2 linked regions of the Coturnix japonica genome follow. The protein of the gene in region 2 binds, or shares a complex with, the protein of the main gene of each other region. Links are inferred from orthologs where the notes say so. Each region holds a gene or a part of one and is shown on either strand. Other genes may lie near its edges.

What was found. Proteins that work in one complex are often made in the same cells at the same time.
Region 1: the proteins of PLXNC1 (region 2) and SEMA7A are in contact, whole or in part, in a crystal structure (PDB 3NVQ), measured with the Homo sapiens proteins. The link is inferred for Coturnix japonica from reciprocal best matches to the Homo sapiens genes PLXNC1 and SEMA7A. Residues at the interface, in NP_005752.1 of Homo sapiens: Arg131, Thr151, Glu152, Val153, Asn195, Pro196, Ala197, Ala198, Ser199, Asp200, His201, Thr203, Ala206, Lys208, Arg213, Ser214, Leu215, Ala216, Thr217, Gln218, Glu219, Leu220, Arg222, Lys224, Glu272, Ala350, Ser352, His353; in NP_003603.1 of Homo sapiens: Gln194, Tyr196, Asn197, Gly198, Lys199, Arg202, Arg204, Tyr213, Ser215, Asp216, Thr217, Gln270, Gly271, Gly272, Glu273, Ser274, Ser275, Leu276, Val278, Ser279, Lys280, Pro372, Thr375, Glu376, Phe378, Gln379, Asp382, Arg383.

Annotation. Positions count from the first base shown.
Region 1 is NC_029525.1:1,860,743-1,864,358, reverse strand, and holds part of SEMA7A (semaphorin-7A), read right to left. Parts: intron 2,776-3,616; coding exon 2,636-2,775; intron 2,297-2,635; coding exon 2,118-2,296; intron 1,914-2,117; coding exon 1,805-1,913; intron 1,138-1,804; coding exon 939-1,137; intron 1-938. UniProt on the Homo sapiens protein: Plays an important role in integrin-mediated signaling and functions both in regulating cell migration and immune responses.
Region 2 is NC_029516.1:41,062,974-41,066,589, reverse strand, and holds part of PLXNC1 (plexin-C1), read right to left. Parts: intron 186-3,616; coding exon 71-185; intron 1-70.

The sequences.
Region 1 (3,616 bases), on a different chromosome or scaffold from region 2:
CAGGCAGAGAACCAGCTCTGTGAGCTCAGCCCTTGTTGCAGCACACAGTACTCATCACTCTGCAGAGCCAGATATGACTGTGTCCCTGAAACCAGCCACCCAGGGGAGGCTGGAACCTTTTTCAGTATTATTTACTTAGGAATTCACCCTTTATACAATAGTGCCTCCCAGAGCAGAGCTTTGTCACCCTCTCAGCCAAGAGCCATGAGGAATTGATTTCCCCTGGAGGCCTGACTGAGCCCCTTTTGTTCAGCTGCAAGGAAAACCAACAGCTCTCAAACTGGACTCTGTTCCGCTGTGCCTTATCGCCAATGCCTGAGGTTGAAATGTGGACTTCCACCTTTCTGGCTTTGTTAAGCAAAGCGACTCCCTCCTCCATTAAATGACTTCAGGAATTGGTAATTGAAGAAAAGGAGCAATTTGGCAGATGTGTGGCAATTCTCATCCTGGTGGAATGTGCATCAGTAATCTCATCACTTACTCTCATTTAATTGTCTCTGTTTCCCCCTCCCAAAGCAGCCTCTCCCTTCCCCAGCACAAGCAGGGGAGGTGAGATAGGACCCCCCAAGAGGGGTCAGGCGGGGAACACCCCTCATTTCACCTCAGGTGTATCCACACCTACCACAGCACAGGTGGGAAGCTGCCTTGCCAAGCCCTGCAGCATGGAGCAAGCTCTCTTGCAGAATCTGGAAGGCATTAGCTGTGTTTAGCTAAGGCTTTTAGCAGGAGCAGAACAATAAGAGCATGCATGGGCACCAACCCAGGCCACCATGGGCACCAACCCAGGCCACCAAGACTAGTCTGCATTTTTTTCATGCCTGTAAACAAACTCCAGCACAATGCAGATGCAAAGTAAAAGAAGATGATGAGCACGGCTCTAGGGTGTGAGCCTGGGTAGCAAGGCGGGAAAGACAGCACAAGGTTAGGGTTGCTGGTACCTGTTGCCAGATAAAGCACGGTGTATTGGCGTCCATCGCTTGCAGAGACTTCGTGCACCCCAATCTTCTGGTAGCGGTGCTTGTTGTGGAATAAGGGGCTCCTGGTGGGAGCGAGGGGCTCTACCCGGTCCTCAACCTCTGGGTGGCTGTCAGCTATCTTGAAGGTCTCACTTGGGGTGTGCTGTCCAAAGGGAACACACTGCACCGAGAGGGAATAAAAGGCACTGTGTCAGAGGAAGGCAGATCCCTGAGGGCAGGAAAGAAATGACATGGCACAGCTGAAGCCCAGAGGAGGATGCCCAGAGCTTCCTGCCACAGCAAAGGCCGCTCTGCAGGTACACAGGATCATAGAGCAGGTTGAAAACACACAGCAAACACTTTATCTACATACTTGGCAGCCCAATAGCCTTTCTCCTACTGCAAAAGTCTCAGACCCTGCCTTCCCCAGCAGCCTAGGACAGCCTCTCCCCATGCAACTCTTTGCTGCCAGGTCAGTTGAGCACCATGAATTGTAGGGTTGAGGCCACAGACTGGTGCAGACAAACATTTTGTGTTAGCAAACACAATAGAAAGCTTTGTCCTCCAACTTCAAACGAGAGCTCGGACCTGTTTGCCAAGTACATAAGATCCTCACTCCCCTTTATTTCCATAAAGGCGTTGGACGTTGACCAGCCTCCTCATGTTTCCAGTAACAAAGCTCAGATCCTTCCCACACTGCCCACACGCTGCCTGAGAACAGCACTCAGCTCTCAGTTCTCAGCTGGCTGGTTGGGACCCTCACCTGCCCCAGCTCCCTCTGACAGCAGCACAGCAGGGACCTTAGGAGGTCTCTGCTTAATGTGGGTGTCTTTCCATCATTGACTCACCTGCCCAGGTTTGATCTCTGGGTTGGGACCGTTGTAGCCTTTGAGTTTGGATGTTCGAAACACGTTGTCAATGTCCCCAAAAGAATAGACACAAACAGCAGAGCTTCCCCTGTGGGAAAGAAGACAAAGAAAGGGTCAGGGATACAGTGGCCTTTGCCTGGGGCATGGCTGGGGCACAGCTGCGTGTCGCACCTTTGCTGCCCATGTCCATTCTGGCTGTTTTCCACCCATGTTCCTGCCAGAGAGAACAAAGGGCTGAAGGAAAGGACAAGGCCCATGGGACAGGCACTCCCCATTTTGCAAAGACCCTTACCAGGTGTTTGTGAAGAGTCCGTAGACTTTGGAGTCCCTCCAGTTACTTGCAGGGACAAAGAAGACATCTTGCAGCCAGTTGAAGTTGCCCTTGGTGGCTGGGTCAACACAAATCAAGCTGGCCTTCAGGAAGGTGGTCCATTTGGATGCAGAGAGTGAACTGGTTCCACCTTTGTCTTCCTGGAGTAGAAAGAAAGCAGAGAGTCAGGGCTTGGTAGAGAACAACACAAAGTCCCCTCTGTATGGCATCTTAGGAGGATAACTGTGGGGGATGCTCCGGAGATATATTTGCTGCTGGTCTCTGCAATGCTTGTTTATCTCTAACATCCCAGCAAGAGAGGACAGTGTTGTCCCCCTCTACAAGCAAGATGGGAGCCCAAGGATGGGAAGGGCAAAGGACATGGCTAGAGGGAGCCAGAGGGGCCAACTTGTGTGCTGACAAAACCAGATGAGCTGGTATGGCCATTTCTCACCCCTGTGACACTGTTGCCTCCCAACCATACACTGTTCCTACAATACCTTACACAGCTGGGCCACTCGGGAGATGTTTCTGGGTGCCTCAGGACTCTTATCTGGATTGTCTTCACGGAAGAAGTAGTAAATCTTGTCCTGGTAAGGCTCTTCATGCCTTAATGTGGTGGCTTTGACAAACTGAGGGTCTGGAAAGGGAAACAAGCAGTCAGAAAACTTTGGTTTGGACATGAACCCTTCAGAAACACAAGCTCACTGGTGGGTCTGAGCAAAGGACAGGTCCAAGCCCTTTCTCCATACCTGACCAGTCACAGCACACTAAAGACTGTTCTTCACACACCACATTCCCACGGGTTCCCTTTCCTCTCCCTCCCCCATGCACTTGTTTCCTTGCAAAGCAAATCCCCGGAGCCTAGTGAAGCCTTGGCTTTGTACAGAAATGCTCCCTCAGTGGAGCAAGATGCCTCATTATTTGTGTTCAGTGTGGAAAACCCAGTCATGTTTTTTCCTATTAATACACTGCTGCCACAAAGGGCATCCCCAGCAGCAGTACGATCCCTCTGGGTATCTGGTGGCCCCATGGCAGTGAGTTCTGTGTCATCAGTGCTCCAGGTCTGTGAGGTTTTTTCCTCCTGTCCTGCATACACATCTCCTGTTTGGCCTTGATGTCATTTGGACTTTTGTCTTTGGCCAGGGGTTCAATGATCTTCAGTTTCCCAGAGAGGCTTAGGGGAAGGCAGTAAGGTTACAGAAACTGAGAAGGGTTCTTTCGTCCACTAGCAGCCCAACAGCTTCTTGCTGCAAGGTTATGACCCGGCTGGGGATTTAGAAAGAGTCACTGCCCAGAATGGAACTTGTTCTTCCTGTTTCCACCACCACTCGGCAGCTGATGGGCACCTTTACACAACAAGCATCTGACATGGGACTTGCTGTCCATTTCTCTCCATTTCCCCTTCCCCTCCTTCCTCACCCTAAGCAAGAGGAAACTCATGCCAGTTGTCTCGGTGCTGAAGCAAGGAGGGTGAAATT
Region 2 (3,616 bases):
GCGAAACACATATATATTTGAACACAGTAATAGTCGATGCTGAAGGGAGGAAGTCCCACGCTCTACTTACCTTCAGTAACTGTCCATCATCCGTTCCCAGAAAGAGAACGATCTGATTTAAAACAACTGTGCCATAAACAGCCACTAATCCAGAGTGAATCAAGGTGGGTGATTGATTGTACCTTCTGCAAATCAGATATGAGAGAAAATCATTACAAAGTTATTCACCTGTACTACAAAATGTTTATAAAAATAAGGATCCCTGGACAGATTCTCAGAGAACTCATCTATTGAAAATAGCATGGGTAACATTTTAATTCTGGCAGTGCTTCAGAGCAACACGTCACTGGAAATGGCACATGGAACTCCTTTTTTACGTACAGGGCAATTGGCCACATCCACGATAGAGAATACATCTACTGCAGATAAACCACTGGTCTCACTGGGACACAGACTTGGTCTAAAAGCTGCAAGCTAATTTTCAATATAATTTCTCTTCTTTGGGACATAATGCTCAGAAACTATTCTGAACTGCCAGTACTTCTCAATGCAACCATTCTTTTCCATCACCTGACAGCACCTATCATAAGGGCTACAGATACACTCAGCAACCACAAGAAAAGATATGCAAATGTTCTGGAGAAAGGATGTACTTCAAACACTCAGACTCTTTTCTCTCACCAGAAAATGCAGAGCTTCATCCTCCCTTGGTATGGTTTCCTGCTTTAAGCTAAAAGGAAGTTGAGACTTGCATACTACATAAACATAAAAATGATATAAAGCAGCATAAAGTTCATGTCAGGGAGGCCATAAACGTACTTGCACAAACTTCAAAACCAAATGTTACCTACAATTCTCTGTCCAAGCTGGATAAAGTTTAGAGACAAATGCATGTAAGAAGCTCACAAAAGAAAAACATTGTGTAGGAAATCCCTACATCTTGTGGAACAATAACAACAAAAAACCCATACCAGACAACCCAGATCTTCACTGCAGAAAGCCAAGCATTAAAAGGAAGTCCCTCCTGTGTGTAAAGAGCTCAAGCAGGACCAGGCCTTTGAGAATAAGCACCACAGGTCAGTTTAAAATGCCCAGAATCTCGGCCACAACAGCAGGTTCATAAACCTAGAGGAACACCCTGAGTGCAAGAACCTATTCTGCATTAACGCACTAGGTGAAGTGTAAGAATGGACTGTTAAAATCCATATTCTGCAGAAAGGTGAAGGCATTTCTTAAACTTATGAAGTCAACAAAAGACTTTGTTTTTCAACAACAACAGATCTATAACAGATCTATAACATGGTAACAGCTGAATCCATCTCCTGCATGCCTGAATGCTGGCTTAACCCAAAAGCCTTTCCACATAGAAACACATTTTTTTCTGAACTGCAATCCTAAGTCAATTAAAATCTTTTTCAGTCATCTGAATTATTTTAATTAGCTCATGAGAACAGCCATTTGGAGTAAAAGAAGACTTGATTAACTTTCATATTTAAAGACCTTTTTTTTTTTTTTTTTTTTTTTTTTCATGCAGCGGGAAGAAAACATAGGAACTGCCATGTACTGGCACAGGATTTCAGTAAAACCCACTTTGGCATAAGATTCCACTATCACAGAGATCTCTTTTATATATAGGGAAGGAAAACTGATTGCACGCATCAGAGGGTAACAAACTCCAGCACTGGTGCACACAATGAGCCCTTGCTCAGACCAAGGAGTGAGGAGATGAAGTGTTCCAGTCTTTGATTACCAAGAGAATTAGGATTTTTTTCTCTCAGTGCTCTGTATAGCAGCGTTAGGAAGACAAACCACCCCAGGTTTCCTGCAGACTCTGTACAATAGGATCACAGAAGAGGGGAGGACTCACCCAGTCTCTGAAAAGCTTTGCTGCCAGATTTTATTTTGACCCACATACAAGTAAAATAACTAGTGTCATATCAGTGCATCCTCCTCATCTGACTGAGGAACCAGTACTGACAAGTGTGGAAGCCTCCTCCCCTCACTCCGCTTGCTAGAGGGAGGGTCAATGCGACATTGAGCTAATATAGATAAGGAGGAATTTAGACGGTGGGCAATCACAACAAGAATTGTCTTCTCTCTTTTGCAACCTATTTCTCCAGCTTGTCCATTCCCTCCAGGGTGCAGCTGCTGCTTTCACCCTTCTGTCATCCCTTTTCCACGTGCACTTATTTTTTTAACAAGCCCTTTTACTTCTTCCAGTGTAACTAATGGGGTTACAGCACTGTAGGGCCTTCCCAAGCTTTCCTCTTTCACAGCTAAACCCAGCCCTAAAACACATTTATGGTCAAAACTTCTTTTATACTTGAAGAGCCATTCATCTTCACAATCATCTATCCTGTAACACTTCCAGGTTCATACAGAAACAAGAAATGCAAATAAAAAGACAACAAATACTGCTATAGAACGTTGTGGGTTTCTTTTGAATTCTTCAGTTGCACTCTTCTATTTTAATCTATTGTTCCCCAGAATCTTCACATTCATAGGTAAGCCTACAGATTTCCTGAATAAATTTGCATTTTGCCTTTAAAATCAAGCTTTCTATGCTGTTTGGTTATTGGCATTAAAGTTATTTTTATTCCTTTCATATTTTGCATCTCATTTTCAGTTTTCTCTCCGTATGATTCCAGCTGCAGCAACCATATTCACACTCGTCTTTCTGTCTCAGTTTCCTCTTGATTCTCTCACCTCAGAGGGAAGGGCAGCCCTCTAGCTCAACCAGCACTCAACATATTGCAATTGGCCAAAAAGAACAAAGTAAGGGTTTGAGAATTCAGTGTGAACAAATGGAAGCAACTATACAAAAGGACACAAAACTTGTGAACTCTGTACAGCAACAGTCAACACTGCAACAACACATAAACACCTTAGCCAGTGGGCGAAATCTCCTGGGATCTCATTCTGGGACCGCCCTTCAACCTCTTCCATCAGTTTTTATGACATCAGTGGGTAACAAACTTACATACTGGTGCATGTTGTGAGCCTTAGTTATGGCTAAAGAATGAGGAGTTGATCCATTCCAAAATCTGATTTCCATCAGTTTGCTTTTTTTTTTTTTTTTAAATATGTTTACTGCATAGCAATGCTAGGAGAACAAGCCATCCCAGATGAGCAGACTGCAGAACATCGGGGGGACAATAGGAAATGAGGGTCTAACCAGAGACCCTGTAGACACAAGATCCTGACCTTCACAATGCAAGGCAAGAGGGACACTCGGAGGCTAGACCTGAGGAAAAGGCTGATTGAGGCTCCTGAGATGTGGGATGCTAGAAGCTTCTTGCAGCAGAAGAAATGCTCCTCCTCTGCCCTCATATCTGAATTTACAGGATCAGTAAAGCACCCTAACAACCAATGAGAAGGGAAATCGAGCACTATTAAGGAAGGCTTGAAAAGCAACTGGGCTTGAAATGAATATAACAGAAAGAGCAAGAGGAAGTGGTGGGTGACAGTGGCTGGAGATTCCCTTCTGTGAGAGATGAAGGCACACATCTGTTAAACAGTCATGCTGCTAAAACAGGTTTCTTTTCTTAGGTTTCTTGCAGAGAGATTGCCAATGATGTTCCATCCCTTGGACTACCATTAAATGCTGCACACCCAC